4 linked regions of the Drosophila melanogaster genome follow. The protein of the gene in region 4 interacts with the protein of the main gene of each other region in a pairwise test. Each region holds a gene or a part of one and is shown on either strand. Other genes may lie near its edges. The genes, in order: Amnionless, Pebp1, CG14086 and CG34331.

What was found.
Region 1: the proteins of CG34331 (region 4) and Amnionless interact in a two-hybrid assay, tested with the Drosophila melanogaster proteins (one large-scale study listed by BioGRID).
Region 2: the proteins of CG34331 (region 4) and Pebp1 interact in a two-hybrid assay, tested with the Drosophila melanogaster proteins (one large-scale study listed by BioGRID).
Region 3: the proteins of CG34331 (region 4) and CG14086 interact in a two-hybrid assay, tested with the Drosophila melanogaster proteins (one large-scale study listed by BioGRID).

What each region holds. Positions count from the first base shown.
Region 1 is NT_033779.5:286,752-290,839, forward strand, and holds Amnionless (amnionless), read right to left. Parts: upstream 2,394-4,088; 5' UTR 2,169-2,393; coding exon 651-2,168; 3' UTR 501-650; downstream 1-500.
Region 2 is NT_033777.3:22,464,490-22,467,206, reverse strand, and holds Pebp1 (Phosphatidylethanolamine-binding protein 1), read right to left. Parts: upstream 1,174-2,717; 5' UTR 1,117-1,173; coding exon 586-1,116; 3' UTR 528-585; downstream 1-527. Other genes in the region: CG5377 (uncharacterized protein), read left to right, coding at 1-61; CG7054 (uncharacterized protein), read right to left, coding at 1,332-1,470, 1,532-1,932.
Region 3 is NT_037436.4:19,274,131-19,280,432, reverse strand, and holds CG14086 (uncharacterized protein), read right to left. Parts: upstream 4,643-6,302; 5' UTR 3,841-4,642; coding exon 3,714-3,840; intron 1,505-3,713; coding exon 1,444-1,504; intron 1,394-1,443; coding exon 1,319-1,393; intron 1,049-1,318; coding exon 800-1,048; intron 736-799; coding exon 609-735; 3' UTR 514-608; downstream 1-513. Other genes in the region: CG14089 (uncharacterized protein), read left to right, coding at 1-307.
Region 4 is NC_004354.4:20,120,893-20,125,789, reverse strand, and holds CG34331 (uncharacterized protein), read right to left. Parts: upstream 3,338-4,897; 5' UTR 3,307-3,337; coding exon 3,115-3,306; coding exon of another isoform or gene 2,971-3,114; exon of another isoform or gene 2,729-2,970; intron 895-2,728; coding exon 682-894; 3' UTR 519-681; downstream 1-518.

The sequences.
Region 1 (4,088 bases), on a different chromosome or scaffold from region 4:
GAATGAATTGGCAGAAGCTAAAATGAAATCCGAAAGCGGTCGCTTAATCCGCATCGGTACGCCTCCGTCCCACGTCCCTAGATCCGTGCATATCTACGGATTCATATCCTATGGCAACTGGGGGAGGCACGTGCCTTCCCAAGCGTGTCTATGAATAGATACGGATACACATGAGCCACATTTATGAGCCGGGGGACAAAGGCTTCTGGAAATATCTTCGCAGCTAATGGCAACTATCGTTTCCCGGTCCCATCACCACCAATCCACCCCCTGTGAAGGTCAAGGAACAAGGCCATCGCGACAAAAGGCACCGCTAACTGAATTACCTGGTAAAATTATCAGGTGCTCTCTTGGTTCTTTGCCCTTTCGTTACACGCGATGCATCGATTGTGCGTTAGTAATTGATTCACTGAACAATAATATCCGAAAATATTCACGCAGATCCGCCTACAACTTGTAAATAGAGTTAATTACTGGACCATCTGCGCCCAGGAACATTTATAATGTAATCATAACAAATACTTTAATAAGCAGATCTATTAATATACATATATAGAACACACAATCTTAAAATTGTACATCAGATTATACGTGATGCTCCATTGGTGCTTTCGAATCAGGTTTCTATGTCTTATTTTTGAGAATCTTAATTAGATGGTCTCCTCGTCGGTGTCCGCCTCGCAGGTTTCCAAATTGATTTCCGTAAGCTCCTGTTCATCCACCACACTTCTGGCGTCCAGATCACCAGTCTCCATTTTGGGGACACTCAGGATTTCATCCTGCTCCTGCGACTCCTTGGCAGCCTCCTCCAAAGCTCCTCCCTGCTCAAACATCGGATTGTCAAAGGCTCGCTCCCTCACCTCGCCACTTTCCGGATCGTAAGCCATAATTCCCAGACGATCCACACCAGAAGCTCCTCCTTCACTGGATCCACCCTCTGCGCCACCATTGTCGAAGCGGTTAAACAGCAGATTCCGGCGCAGTCTCAATCCCAAGTGACGCCACCTCCAAAGACGGGGGTCGTGGATCCACTGTGGTATGCGGTTTAGGTAGGGGTTCTCAGGCATAAAGTGCGCCAAAATGACCACAGAAACCAGACCCACCAGTGCCATGCAGAAAAGGATGAGAACAATCGAGGAGAAGCTAACATTCGGATTATAGGGTCGACCAGAAACTTTTAACGTTGTTCCTGTCTTGTTCCAATTGTGTTCGTTTTGCTGTAGAAACTCCAAGCTCCGTTCACTATATTTATGGCGATCAGTTACCACCGCCTGCAGGCAGTTTCCAAACTTCTGGGAGCCCACAAACTCCACGTGTAGGCCGATCTGATCCTTCAGGCTCTCCTGGCTGATGAGGTTACTTATCTGGGCCACCAACTCCTTTCTACTGCCCTCGGTGCAGTGGGTCGTGGGCGTGGATAGAATGGCCCCGCAGATTAGGCAGCACGATCCCAAGGGTCGAACTGGAGACAAGCAGTGGGGCGTCTCGCACTGCTCCTGGACATTATGGCAAACGGGTTCCAGCAGTCGCTCGAAGTCCTTGTGGCAGCCACACAGCTCTCCTCTGTAGTACTCCACCTGGACGTACTCGGCATTGTAAAAGAGAAACTGGCCCAGATCTCTGCTGATAAGTTGCTCCAAGTACGTTTTGGAAATGGAAGAACCAGCCAGAATAAGCTGTCCCAGCCTCAGATACTGCACGTTTTCTAGGTCAAAGGCCAATGGTCCGTGCCCCTTGATTATGACCTGCTCGTCATCACAGGGAATCCTCTCCAGCTCTGGTGTGAATGTGGAAAATTCCTTAGATTTGTCCGTCCAGGTGCCAGGATCGAACCATTTACTCGACTTCGGTGGCTTCAAATAGGCCTTATTCTCATCGCTCTCACAGGAGGGCTGCTTATCAGATCCAAAGGTAATGGTGGATTCCTCTGCCAAAAGGATCGCCCCTTCTCTGGGGAAAACCAAGCCATCAATGGATATGTCCTCGGGCAAGGGCAGCAGAGCTGGGTAGTACTCTGGAAAAACGACCAAATCCTGTGCACAAGGCAAGTGGTCATCTAGCCAGGCGGTGGGATCATTGAAGTCCATTCCACCGCCATACCACTTGGTGGCCAGTGCCACATGGAGCCCCACCAATGCCCAGATCAGCCATTGCCAATGCAAACCCATCGTGGAAACTCAGTGAACTCTAAACTAAATCTGAAACGTTCGGAGAATTCCATTCGATGATGTTGCCTCTTATTTGGGGGCGGATAACAATCAGAATTGGAACCAACGAGAGCAAATAAACACAGGGGTGATGGACAGCAGATGTAAGGGAAATCAGGCTGATGGGGACAACTCATACCCTATCATTTTTGGGAACATGTTCTTATGTTACTTATAGTTACTTTTCAATGTTTATAAAAATATAAATGGAGTTTGTATATGTATATTGTGTTTGTAAATGACATTTGGAAAAGCATGGAATTCATGCTTTATATTCTCCACAAAGATTTTGCTTATATATATATATTTTTTTTTTATTCTAAACACAGCTAATCCTATTAGTGGATCGAAACCTAAATCTTTTCTTTAAATATATTTTACTAATAAATTGTTTCGAATCGAAGAGAATTTGGCAAAAAGCGTACACAGATAATTTCACGTTTGCTTCAACAATGCAATTGTTTGTCAGAACATAGTTAGTTTATTTGTATTTTGATTGCGCCGATATAAACAATTTCAGCACACCAGATTTTTAAGATGCCCAGAAGACCAGAAGAAAGGTAAAAATTCGACAACGAAAATAATGAACCGGATGGTAGTGGCACCGAAAAGTTCTCGTGATCGTTTCAAGGGACTACATAAAAGAAAAAGATCTGTAGATATAAAGCACTTTATGCTGACCAGATCAAAGTACTTTTTGCGGGACAGACGGCGTTAATCAAGGGCGAGCAAGGTCATGCAATAACAAACTAAGATGTTCCTGGAAAGACGCACGGAAATGGAAAGCCGTGGTGTGGAAATATGTACATATGTAAAAGCATCGTATCAAAAAAGAGCACAATTCCTTCTCTTGAATAAATGCAATTAATGCAAAAATATCTTCATTTCTGGGTCATATCTTAAAGAGATTGAGCAGAAATATTGTCAAGTTGAGAAAAATGTATGGAGATAACATCAGAAGTGGACTCGTTATATATATGTATGTATTTTATAGCCCATTTTAAAACCAGATTTGTGGCAGCATACATTTTTCTTCAATTACAAGTACAATTTCTCTTAAGTGACGTTAATTTCCTTATTTAATACATTTTTTCTTTTTTTTTCTGTGGGCCGAAATTCAAGACATATTTATTTACCCATTCGAAATGAAATTCGTTCACCAATTCAACAATGAAACATTCGCTTGTGCCAGTTGCCAAGGAGCTGCGAGAAAAATGCAATAATCCATCGATTTTCTAACAATTTAACGATATGTAAATGAGGCGTCAGAAGCACCGAATAGCAGAATACCAAATCGAAGCCAACTGCCACGTATGGCACATTTACATTGGCGCCCATCAGATAATCTCGCATTCGTCAAGAAGTGGAATCAAAAATCTGGAAAACCGCGAACATCTGAGCAAATAAACACTTGGGGCGAGAAAATGCCGAAAAACGCTTTCCCACACGGAATGTGCATTGCCATCAGGGAAAAGTGCAGCGCGAATGAGGAAATTCGGCGAGCACAGCTCCCGTATCTGGCGGATACTCCTCCGTATTCCACAGTTGTTGACCCCGCCTGGCCGATAAAAAGAGCGTGCAAGTAAGAGAAAATCGAAGGGGAAAGGGGGCGATCCCCAGCGAACAGACAAACAAATAAACAAACATATGGCACACATAAACCCGAACATCGGCATACGGGCCTAGAATATAAATAATTTTTCCTTCGCTGATTTTTCTGGTCTCGAGCTCAACACTTGAAACAACCGATGCTGGCCGCATTTCCGTCTTGTTTTTTAATTTCCCATAATTTCTCACATATGTATCTCTGTATCTTTGTGGCGCTTTCGATGGGCACGCCGTAAATTAACTTACCAGCGACCAGTAGGACAGCAATTTGAT
Region 2 (2,717 bases), on a different chromosome or scaffold from region 4:
TTTACGTTATGCGGAGGAGTTTAACAAACTGGTGGCCGATTTCTTTAACAAAAATAACTAGATTAACCAATATATTTAAGCTTTCATGGATCCAAACTCATTACTTGTTTAACAATGGTAACTTGAAGTTGGATGGATATTCGTTATATGTGAAAGCAGTTATCAGAAATGAGCATGCAGGTGTTCAAAGTTCGAATTTTAAAAGGAAACTGATAGTTTTGATGAATCAAATTCATATCTAAGTTAAAGAATATTGTTATCTATTCAATGAATCATTTCGAAATAAATTGAAAAATAACCATATCTCCTAACTTAGCGAAAGGGAAATAAATGATTAATTATAAACATTTCTTTCTCTCGCTTTTATAAACTTAACTTCAAAGAAAGATATCAAAGCCTCGGGCAAGTTTAAATTAATTCCGGAAATGTTATCAAAAGTAATTCTTATAAAAATATACTTCAGCTGCTTATGGAAATCGCATAGCAAAAGACCCGCCCACAAGCATGTATGAGATAACTTTTATGAGAACTAGTACATATTTAATATTTATTATTTCACAGAGAGCTGATCAGTTGGTGGCCAGATTACTGGACCGTCTCGATGAGGGTCTTCACGTAGTCATCGTATTGGGCCTGGAAGAAGTTGCCGGCCACGGGACCGCCGAAGCTGTACTTCTGGATGTAGTCGCGGGCCTTGACGTTGATGCGGCCAGTGCGGCTGGTCTTGGACACGAACTTCTCGGTGGTGATCTTGTCGTTCTGCTTGAACACCAGGAAGACGTAGCGGTGCAGGCCGGTTCCCTCGCGGGGTCCAGCACCGATGTACTCGGCGATGGTCTGGCCCTCGGACACCTTGTTGCCGGGAATGTTGATCACCAGCCAGTGGAGCAGCTCACGGAACTTGGGGTCCTCGCGGCTGGGTGCGTCGGGGTCCACCAACAGGATGGTGTACAGGGAGTTGGGCTCGGCATCGAAGACGACAGTGGGCTGGTCCTTCACCTGAGTGGGAGTCAGCTCCTTGCCCAGCTCAACCTGAACGCCGGAAGGATAGGTGATGGTGGCCTTGGAGGCGGGCTTGACGTCGATGATGTCGGGAATAATGCCGGCGGTGTCCATGTTAGCTGGTAGTTCTGTTGCTTCTGCTCGGTGTAGCGTTAGCGAGTTGACTCTGGCCCGGATCCCTGATGTCTGGCCTTTTATCGACGGAGTCCGCCGCCTAATCAGTTCCGTGCACTTTTCAGTTAATACCCCAACGCATAGATAGCGAGATAAGCAATTGGTTAAACTTTATTGACGGGGAATTGAAAACCCTGCATGATATATGCACAAATCTAGCCTACGATCGTTTTATTCCGAATTGGCACATAGTCATCATACTGGGCCTGGTAATAATTGGCGGCAATGGGCTCGCCCAATCCATGTTTGGCGGCAAAGTCCCGGGCGTTGAAGTTCAAACGGCCTGTGCGAGTACTGTGAATGGGAATTGATCAGTGTCACAGTAAACTGATAAATATCTTAATATATATCATACGTATTGGATATAGTGGGCGTCTCCTCGATCTTGTTCTCCTGGCGATAGAGGAGGAAAATATACCGATGCAGGCCAGTGTCCTTGGGCGGTCCAGATCCAACGTAGTCCGCTAGGGAGTGGCCACCAGAAGGATTCTCATTGCTGCCGGGAATGTTGACCACAGACCAGTGCAGAATCTCACGGTACTTGGGATCTTGACGAGTCGGTGCATCGGGATCCACCATGAGCAGGGTCAATAGGTTGGACTTTCCCTCCAGCCCAGACCAGCTGACAATCGGTTGGTCCTTCACCTGGGTGGGGGTTAGCTCGTTGCCCTGCTTGACCTCCAAGTCATCGCCATAGATGACCTTAATGGTGCCAGCGGGAACCGCATCCAGCACATCGGGTACTATGTCATCCATGTTACGTGTAGCGTGTCAGCCCAAAAAGATGATAATACGGTTTTTTTTTCGTGGCGTTATCACTCTGCTGACCAAGCCAGCTGGGTGATAACAAAGCAAAAGCTTCACTCTGATTCAGCGGATATCTACGGATTTATTAAAATTTCCAGTCCAATTAATTAGTATCTGGATGGCGAAACCAGTCAAGGCTATCCAGCGCTGGCAACAGCTAACACCTAGAAATAATAGTTTAATGGACACAGCGGAATAAACTTTATCGCAGTGGGTGAACTGATTGGACAATGTTGATTTCTAGCGCCGATGGAAAATTGTGAAAAGCCCCTTCCACGATAAGCAAGCTTTTATGCCAACTGGCATTTTTAGGCCCTTTTTTGCTTTCCCAAAACGCAAAGATCACTTCCATTGGTGCGATGATTCATGGCTAGAAACTAGTTTTCACTTCGTTGAACATCATCAATAATTGTGACGTTAATTTCAGGATTTAGCTGATCTTGAACCAATGTGCACACGTGATAGCGAAGACAGCACTTGTGGGCTGATCATAAAGTTGTATATCACCCATTTATGAGGTTGTAATCGTACCTTTCCGTTCTATTGTTGGGCATATCAGTTCGATATAGGGAAAAGCCATATAACGATACCCTTTCACCAATGAGAAACACATCATTTTTAGTATATATCATGCTAATTTATTTATTAAACAATTCGAATATTATTAACACTTGAATATCAATATTGATAGCGCTGACAGAGTTTTGGTCTATTAAATACGCTTAGTTGCATTT
Region 3 (6,302 bases), on a different chromosome or scaffold from region 4:
GGGCCACCCCGGGATGCCTGGAATCCCTGGCCAACCTGGTCCTCAGGGTCCTCCTGGATATCCCGGAGGTTCATATCCACCGTATCCGTATCCTCCACCTCCTCCTCCTCCATCACATGGACATGGAGGCCCTAAAGGCCACCAGAGGCACTACTATAACTACTATGATGAGGACGAGTATGATTACGGCAATGAGCGTTCTTTTGGTCTGAGAAAAACCGAAGAATTCGACGACCAGCCCTTCATTTTGGCCTTTAGTGAACGCAGAAATCCGTTTAGCACAAAAAACAATAAAAGACGAAATTAAAATAACATTATTTAAAACGAAATAGCTTTGATAATTATTTCTGTAGGTAAAAAGCAGATACCCAATACTTAAAAGGAACTTTCAAAATTCTTTTGAAGAATGTCCTTTTTGACTTTTGAGTGGCTTCGTTTATAAATGACACCAAAAATCATACAAAGTGTGGGTTTATCGATTACCTATAAAAATATACCACGCACTCAGCGTTTAAATCGAAACCTCTTTACAAACTGTATATTATTAGACATTTGTTAAGTCGTTTAAAATCTCACATTACATTAGGCAGAAAAGCTGGCTTAAACTATTAGCAAACATCGTCGTCTAGGGCGGTGTGGTCGTCGCCCTCCTCCTCCGCTTCCTCATCCAATCCCGCTTGCGTGGCACCAATCTCCGCGAAATCATCCTCCATGGTATCCACAAAGCTCGACACCCTATCATCGCAGAACAAACAGACATTAGAAACAAATAACAAAGACATTCGTTGGCTGGCATCACTTTTCAAAGTCGCACTGCGGCAGGAGACCCTCCTCCTTCGAGGCGCTGAATCGGAGCAGCGTGCACAGTCTGAGGAGTCCGAGGAGTATCAGGAACATCCCGGCCACATAACTCAGCCACAGATTGTGGGGATACAGGATCAGGCAGATGCCGATGACCGCATAAACAGGAGTGGGTCGCCAACCGCCACAAATCGCTGAAAGTCGCCAGCAGGCCAAGCAGCTGCAGGACCTTCGCTGGTAATTATCCCTGAAACAAATTGAATTCACAAATATGTGAACAGAGAAAAATTTGCAGAGAAAAATCTGAGCAAAGGCACTTGATATAGAGTATTGTATATAATAGTAAAGTATATCATATTATAGTATAATTAGGGTTTAATTAGTTTTACAACTACTAGGCTTGGTAACTAGAATTTCTATATTTCATAAATAATAACTGCTAATTATCAAATAATATATATACGAATAACTATAATTTATGAACATGTTATTTGGTAATCTTGAATAGTTTTCTTACTCTGCGCACTGAAGTTGCAGGAAGATAGTCACAAGCCACTTGATCTCGATAAACATTACCAGCACGGCTGAAAAACTAACCAGAAATTAGTATAGTTATGGGGGATATTTAGATCCGTGACTTACACTATATAAAGACCGGCCCGATAGCCATGCATGTAGACATCAACGCCAACGCCGCAGATAACTGAAATGAAAAATGGCTAAAGAAAGGTTCGGTGCGGGGGGTCCTTTTTGGCGGGTTGAAACGAGGAGTGTTATCCTTGAACGAGCCTATAAAATAATGTGAGTGTGTCTAGGCAAATATATTTATAAGCATATTTATTGAGCTGGGCCTTTTTTGTTTACCATGCTTTGGCCATAAAATGTAATACAAAACCAATGAATGGAAACGAGGTGAGCTCAAGAAGTTTATCGCAATTTTACTGAAGCTTACATCATTTGCAATAGAGTATTTTAAGAAGGCAATGTCCTACACATTACGAAATAACATAATGATAATTAATAATAAATAGCTTGGAAGAAACTTCAATATTCATGACGAACTTAAATTTTATAACTTAAAAGGTTTCTATATTTTTGTCGAACAGCCCTCCGCAGGGCATTCATATTCTAACCACATTATGGTTCCGCTTCACATTTTGTCTTAGCCAAATCCACTTTGAGTGTATAAGATATGGTTAGATGTGGTTATGGAGCCACCACGCCCAGTGGTCCATAAAAATACAATCTAATTAAGTTGTTTTTATTATGCCGGGTCGCGAAAAACCAATCAGATTAGCCAGTTAGATATATGTATATGTATGCCCCATATTTAAGCACAACTGCAGAACCGAAACCAAACCAATTACATTAAATGCTGTCAACGGAGATAAAAATTGAAAAAGCGGAAATCGAAAAAACATGCAAAAATTATCTGGATAATTGAAAGCGGTGGGGGAAAAATAGATGCCGGGCAAGAGGAAAACTTGGCGAATGGCTGGCGCCTAAAGGCTAACAACACAGCTCATTGTCGACCGTATGGAAAAGTTGCTGATAAGGGGAAAATCGGGCTGGGAAAACTCTGCTCTTGGCACAGGATGCCAGTCGTGAGCTGCAAGCTGCAAGCTGCATAGAGGCCAATGCCTTGTTAATGGCTCTGCCAGAGAGTTTCCTTGGAAAACCCCATCCCTCTTACCCGATCCCTATAATGCGGAGCTTATGAACTACAGAGATTTTATACTTTGTTTTCCTGCGTGCCACTGCACCCATGATGGACCCCAAAACAATTTGCAAAGAAATTAGTTTGAACTTGACCCGAAGTTTTTGTTGGCCTGCCTGCAGCTGGGCGATTTATCAAATTCTGTATAAAAAAACGGCGGTGCACTATCTTAAGCGCATTAGGAAAATGTCAGATGGTGGAGGAAAATCGTTATGATTGGCCACGATAAGCGTTTAAGCCAACTTTGATAACTTCACCAGATGGCAGAAAAATTGGGATGAAAAAATGTGATTGCATTTTCGTAGATTAGAATGCGGATACAGGGTGAAAAAGTTACGTTGTGCAACCAAACTGAATTCATTTCAGAAAGGTAATATTATTATTTATTAAGTTTTTGCTTCACTTTACCTTGCCTGTTTAATAAATTAAATTTGACTTCGTAAATTGACAAACGAAATGCCATTAAATTTCAGGCTGTCAATCTAAAATTATTGCCTCAATTTAAACGGAAAAAATGTAACACAAAGCTGGGTTGTACAAAAAAAGCATAATTGAATTGTAATTAAATGACGCAAAAAAAGGGAAATTAATCTTCTACCAATTTACTCTCTGTGTTCTATTTAATTGTTAAGCTAAACTGGAATTTCAGTAGTATTGGATGGCATTTATTTATTTTACCAAATTACATTAGGTCAAATATCCTGTTCATTAGAGCACATATTCTGTGCTATATGTGCTCTGTGAATATGGAAAACCATTTCCTTTTATGTACATTTATTTTGCCAGTCTTCTCAAACAAATGCAAAACCTTTGTGTACAATGAAAATATTGCTCAAAGAGTAATATTATATGAATTGAAAGGAACAATAAAAGCAGCCAATAAGAGCGTGTCCCCATTCAGCATCGTCTTCGTCTTGCGAATCCCATTCAGTGCCAAGAAATATAATAAGCCACAGCACTCAACATATCCCGAGGCAATGGTTCCCATGCACAAGTATTTCCTACGATTTGTCAAGGGTAAACATTCCAAATAAGGGCCAGAAAAGCATTGCACATTCATACATAAATGCATGCACATGCACATGCATCATAGCCTCGTATCGAGATTGGCATTATCTCGAAACGGGGGTCACCTGGGCACCGGCACCGACAAGTCTTATTCCACTGGCTCGGATTTCCGCGCACTTGAGCTTACCGAATGAAGTCAGCAGACCAAAAACCCTTATCACAGGACGAAGGCACTCGCACGGCTCTGCGGACTGATTGCGGCGATGATGACGGGCGCGGCGAACGCGCTGCGATTGCAGTTGCATCTGGCTCATGGCTGACTTGGTTATATATATATATATATAGATATTTACTTTATGAATTTCTATCTATATTTGTTTTATGAATCGCCAAAAGTGCGGCTTTATTCTTAATATCTTATTTATTGGAGCTCAAGTTTTTCTTCTCCTTCGTTATTACTGATGACAAAAGTCGAAGCCATAGCATTTAAATTTTTGATTAATGTGTAAGCTCCACTTACTTAATTTCCAATTTATTTAATATATTTATTCGTTTTTAATTTCACTTTAGAACAATTTTAGTTTTTGGTTAAATTCAAATTTTCAATGTACTACTTTCTAATCCTCCATAACTTTAAATACTCTCATCCGAAACTGACGTTTTAGGTCCTGTCCAAGGGAATCGCTAATAAAACAATCAAAGAGCCGTATCCACATCACAAAAATGCACTACGTGCCTGGCATACTAAGTGGCCAAACAACTTTGCGATAAATATTTTCAATTCCAGCTCGCACAGCTTTTAAATTTCACCATTTAACTCGGGCACACACTGCGTATTCGTAATGTGACATTTTTCGCACCTCTCCTTCCATTGCCTTTAATCACCGCACCGTTTGCTTGTGTGTGTGTGTGTGTGTGTGTGTGGCAACTAATGTCTGCAAATTACCGTTACCATTTGCACTTTGCCCCCGCACGTTGTGTGCCCTCTATAATATATATTTTTTTTATTAAATATTTTTCTTATTGTTGTTGAAGGTTTGTAACTTTTTTTATTTTTGTCAAGTGCCACTTTGCCACACGACTTTATGGCCGAGCTCTAAACAACGAACGTCCGCACGCTTCCAGCGGCGCCAGCAGAATGAAACTGAATGAAAGGACCGGCCAGGATTCGTTTCTATTTTCGGAGTCAGGATCCAGAGTCGCCGCTCAGGCTGCTTTTCCCATTGCTTTTCCTACTGCCACTGACTTTGTAGCCAAATACCAGCCAATGGGGCGGCGCTGCATTCGAAACTGCTAAGTTGATTTGTTACGAGAACGAACGCGTAGTGTTTATTTCTTTTTAAATGCGTTTTTGCGATTTAATGCTGAGATTTATGGAGACCGCAAAATTTATCCATGTTGTTTTAAAGATGTTTTTAATTGGTTAGCTGTTTTTGACATCCACTATCATTTGTATTTGAAAACTTATTTGGCGTTGGCAGTATGAGAATTCTTTAAAACTATGCTCTTGAAATATATTAATTGAAAGCAAGAATATAGGGCTGATTTTTAACTAGAATAATGCTTTAATTTCAATCAGAAGTTATTTAACTTGGTTTTTTTTTAGTATTGTAGTAGGAATACAATTTTTGAATTACATTGTTAATATAATTAAGGAACTCAAATAAATAATTAATTTTCTTTTTGTCTTCAGTATTTTAATTAGAACTGTTTGTATGTTTTATCTCTTTTTTTTTGTAAAAAGTGTTTCCTCTCGCGATTTATTGTGTAGCGTAGCGCATTGGGTCAGTCTTTATAGTCCTGCGGTTTTTTACAAGAAGGCACCATGGGCGAGAGCTTAATATTGTGTGTGATTTAAATATATTCCCACCCGAATGCTTACTTGATTACGATTTTTCCAAATGTAAAAGAAGAGGGAAGTATGAAATTTACCTACGATTTTACACAACGAAAATCTTACTTATATGCACTTGATAAATATTCTACCAGGTGTAAAGATAATCTTTAACTATTACAAATATTGAAGTTTTAAGCCTAAAACAGGATTCTCGGCCCACTGCTCAAAGCCAGCTTGATTTTATTTGTCACGTTGTCCTGTGTGTGAAGCCAGTGCCTCATGTTGTTGCCACTGCTCAAGCGGCTCTGTGTGTGCGTGCCCTCGTCCTGCAGGTCCTGTGGATCCCCGCACCCGTCTTTGGCCACGTTTCAGTAATTTTCATAACTGGCTGAATGGTGAGCGGAGCGGCGGGAGGTGTAAAGAAGCTCAAAAGACAACCAGGAGCAAAGCTGAGCAATTGCCAAGAGGCGGACGAGTACGCAGAATGTGGACAAAAACATTTTCGGTTGCTACACCGCCCTCATCCTCATAAATTAAATGGGGGCCAAATTCAGGAGAGGGGAAGCACGAGTAAATATTTTTTTAGCTCCTCCGCTTATTGTCCTGTGCATTTGCTAAGGTGTCTGTCGTCAGGCTTGTTTGCATTATGCGGCGTTAATGACATCCAAAGTGGCAGCCGTCGCCCCAAGGAAAGTCTCCACTGTCGCCGCCATCTACGACATAATTCACAGATGCCCCACACTCTGAAAAGTTAATTTCCTTAAGGAACAGCTCGAGGATTCTAGCGAAATACTTCTGAAGGTCGTCCTTGATACCGCCTCCTGCAGTTGGAGTCGTTTGTCCAGGTCTTCTATGCTTGCAATTGGTCTTACACTGTACACAATGAAAAAAGTTGTAATTTGCAAAAACAAAATTTTACATTTATTGTAATGTTTGTTT
Region 4 (4,897 bases):
GAAATGCAGAAAGGGAGTGGCTGTGAGTGCGACGAGGCGGCTAAGTGGCGCAGGAAATCCCTGTGGAAGATCCTTAAGAGACATAGAATTTTTCATAATTTTCATTTCTCCGAAATATGCACGCAAAGTTATGACCCGTGCAGGAAGCGAGTAAGCTTTATAATGGAAATAACAAATCAATTATCTCTTGTTTTACTTTTTTTGCACACACTTCTTTGACTTGGCCATATATGCTCATGTTAATGGAAACATAACAGAGTGAACAGAAGCACAGAGTAAGAAAATGATTATATATTTTCGTGAAAAAAAATCCATTAAATTGTATAAATTCAATTAAATGAAATTTAATGCGAATCGCTATCAAATGTTTGTTTCAGATAAGATAAATATATTTATATTGTATTTCAAATGCTTCTTTTATTTTGTATTAAATCATCTTTTTTTCTCAATCCGAAATGTTCCATAAAGATATTGTTTGCAATGCTCTCATAGCTTTGGCTATGTGCTGTCCATTTCTTCGAGTGCAGACTGTATTTTCGCATTTCCAATGATTTTTTTTTGTCCAGTAAGGGTTCATTAGGTTGCCAACTTAGTTTCCTGCAGCGGACTGCAATGGCACTCTCCGCGGCAGGTGAAATGAACAATTGCGAAGCGAGAATGAAATTTCATTTGGTGGAATCATTAAATTTGCAAGCAAATGGAATGTGCCCAAAAGCCGACTTTTCCCGGGGCTAATAAGTTACTTAGTGCTCTCGGCACTGGCATCACATCTTCGTCACAATGTGCACTCAAGGTGGGGAACTTTTTCCCGAGGCCATCGGAAGTGGGGGGCGAAGTTCGAGGGTCGCAACGATAGGTGGCGGCAGCGTCCCGGGGTTCCTGTATCCTGGGGTGCTGTTGATGGGGGGGGGGGGGTCAAAGTTAATAGCTGGCACGTAGTTGGGAGCACACACACACACACACACACACACTCCTGCAGCCAAAGGATCCCACTGCCGGCCTTTAATACGCTTCTCTATTCGGCGTCGCCTTTTTACATATTTAATGAAATTATTTTCAACAATTTATAATTGCCACGAGCAGTCAGTTCGGCCGGCATACTCGCCACCTCACATCCTTCGGCAGGACCCTCCCATCCTTCCACTTCTCCATCAATGCTGTCCTTGGCTGTGCCTTAGTTAAATGTGCCCCGGGGAGAGTTTTGCTGGCAAACAAATTATTATAAAGATATACACGAAAATATGTATGTATATTTTTATATGTAAGCTGGGGGAGTATCTGCCATCAATGTGGAGCCTCTGCCTGCATCCTGGATTCGCCATCCCGTGTCCCCCGGCGCCAGTTAAGTAACCCCTCCCACCCACCAACCATCCCTCCTAGGCGACTTACCTGCTGCCCCAAAACGATTAACAATCTAACTAATAAGGCCCAGCATCTAATCGGACGAGATGTAATGAGGCCAAAAACTAAACATAATATTCAAAAAACTTGTACTCACTTTAAGGGAACTTAATTTCATCATGATCATGAACTATTATGTACGTAGGGAAGTTTGCAAAGGCGGGTCAAAGTTTATGTCTTCGGAATATAGGTATATTTATATTCATACGACTGGCGTGTGCATACTTTAAGTTGTTTTAAAAAAGCATCAATAACAGTTTAATTGGAATATTCACCTCTGCATTGATCCCAGCCATTGCGATTCAATTGTTATAATGCGTGTGCTTATAAAAATCATATATCTATAAATAATTCATACTTCCACCATTCGAGCTGGGAACCTTCTTTCTTTCTGTTTGGCACGTAATTCGCCAATTTGGTGAGTGGCTGAAAAAAGGTTTTTGAATTTTTAATTAGAAAGGCATTCGTGCGTGCCTTGTTTTTGGGAAACCCTCGAACCCTCCTTCCCGGGCAAGTGTTATAATAATAACAATTCGCCATTCGTGCCGCCTATATCCCTTTTATTGGGCTTGTCTGCTGCTTATCATTTGACAGCCTCCGGCCGAGAGGAGAACCCTTATCAAAAGCGAGAGACGTCACATTATATTGAGCTAAAATCAGTTTACAGCATGTGTGAGGAGGATAGAATAGAAATGCCAGAGCCAACACGGATGGAAAATCTATTTCGCATTTACCCATTTTCCTTGTCACATCTAACTAGGCAAAGCTATGATTTGGGCATTCCCACTGAAGCCCAGAAGAGCCGAGAGAATCCAGATGGGGGGCACTTGGGGTAAGTCCTGCAGCTTATTGCACAGAACAATGCCATCAATCAAACTTGGCCAATAATGTGAGTATCTGCGACCTCGGACCGCCACTTCACCTCCTTCAAATCCGCAATCCATTGCGTAAATGTCAACTAATGGATATAATTGGTGCGGCTGGGGCCCTCAATGACATTCATTAAATCGCAGACTCCTTGAAGTTCAGTTTGGATTTCGTTTTAATTGGAAATTCTTTTCACTCCTGACCGATCTCAGTAACCCGTAAGTTATAATAACATGCGGACCGGACCCATTTTGGTAATTAGCACAGCAATAATGTTGCAAAAGTTTCGCTTGATGGGAATGGTTGGGTTATGGGCAAGTCGATCCATGAATATTCATTTTACCATCACATATTCCATTTTATATCACACTTCGGATTGAATGCTCAGCTAAATTCCTTTAAAAACCAACATACACTAGTTCTCCAGAAACCCAAAATCCATGTAGCATCCAATGGAATTGAATTTAACTTGAAGATTTATTAAGGTTCTGCTTTTTCTATTCAGTGCATGTTAGAAGGTCAAAGACTACATATTATGTGTATGATTTGAGCAATTTTGATTCGCTTTCATTGTTCATTGCCAGTTTTAATATATATACTAGTTGGTAGATAAACATATTTGCACATATTTCGTCATATAGTTGTGCTGCACTCAACAAAAGAAAAAAAAAAACGCTGTTTTGGCTTACAGTCGAAGTAGACCTAGGAAAAGCACTGACAGATGTCCTTCTTGCACTGGCCCACCCAGTGACCTTGGCGTTTGCAGTAGCTGTGGCACTGGGGGTGGTGTGGGTGATGTGGCGAGAGCTGGGCGCAGTGGGCGGGGTCCGGCTGAATGTGGCGCACCTTGATCGTGAATATGCCCAGTGGCTTGTCGGTGGCATCTTCCTCCTCTCCGAAATCGATGCCCAGTTCGTTGGCATCGGGTGCGGGAATATCGGGAACATTCGTCTCCACGGGATTCGCCCGACCTTGACCAAGGAACAGACCGATGGTGAGGATCAGGCAGAGCAGCAGGGCGGGCTTTATTGCGCTCATCTCGGTGGCAAGCAAGAAGCAACTGATGCCGTTCCGTTTCCAAGATTTCGATTCGAGCATCCACTTCCAGTGCTCCATTGTGCCGCCTTATCAGTTTCACTTCCCGCTCAAGGTCACCGAGCCCAGCTCTCAGCTCTCGCGCGTTCTAATCACTGTAACTGGACGCACTCCCCGAGTATCTGCCCATTCGCGATTGCGCCTCGGTTTGGCTCAAGTTTCAGATTGGATCCGCTTGAGTTGAGAGAGCATTTCTGCGACTTAACTCTAGACGAGCCTACAAATCGTAAAATTGTATCAATTAAATGTATAATAATTAATACGAAATCTAGACAGATTTCTATAGTCTATAGAGTTTATCGACTATCGGATACCCATTACTCGGCTTAAGAGCGTCCGCAGACAAATGTGTATATATGCAAGTAGGAGCCTCATCTAGCGGCTGTTTAATTTTTTGTTTATGTTTACATTTAAACTTTAAAAAACAACAGTTTTCAAAACAGCGACCAACAACTATCTAGTTTTAATAGTTTACGATCTTGTTAGATTTCTCAGTTTTTACGGACGGACAAATGGACGGGGTCATGTTCATATCAACTCGGCTAGTGATTCTGAATAATATTAATATATTTATATGCATATATAAATAAAGTCGATTATGGGCTTCTTCAACATGTCACATATTTTCCAACGAATAAGTGTTAAATGTTATTGAAGAGCTGTTTGAGTTTGATTTACTTGGAACCACCTCGAATCATCGGCATTGGCCACTCCCTTATTTATTGGAAAAGTGTACTTTTTCGCCAAAATGTTATACATTATTTTTGTGGGGAAACGGCTACAATTTCGCTGATTTTCTCCGTTTTTGTACACAAAATAACAAATGTTGAGCGAACGATTTACGCGGAAATTTGATTTTTATGTTCGTGGAGCTGGTATCCTTGCTCCTTTTCTGCTTTCTGCTTTCACATTTCTCCTTTCTCCCTGCCGCTGTCATTTCGCCAGAAGTTAGTAAAATTGATGGGCAACGGACAGGCAGTTAAAGCCACATAAAAACACCATTTCTGGGGTAATTTTTGGCGCACCCGCCAGCATACATGCGAGCTTCTATACTCGAGTCTCATTTGTTTTAAAATGCAAAAACCATAAAAATAATCATGATAACATTACACAATAATAATAATAATAATAATAATAATAATTACGGCGCTCAAATGTAATACACTGGGAACATCTGCCAAGAGGCAACCCCACCCCGAATTTTCCCATTTTCGCAGCCTTTTTTACCCACACCCATGGGAAAAGTCAATGAAACCGAGCGAAGTGAAGATGTTAACATCCGGAAGACGAGGACTACATTGTACATAGGGCCCTATTTCCGTGCCTATATATTTTTGGATAGTAGTTGTAGAATATGGTATCGTACCCCCCAGCTGTCATCGGGAAGTGATGAAATACATATGCAAATGTGTGGACAAAGCTGGCTTGAAAGTGCTTTTTAGCCAATTGTTATTCAACAAATGCAAAGCCAGAACGAAAGGAATTGATGGACTAATTGGCAAAACGGCATAAATCTCATACAGTAGACTGAATA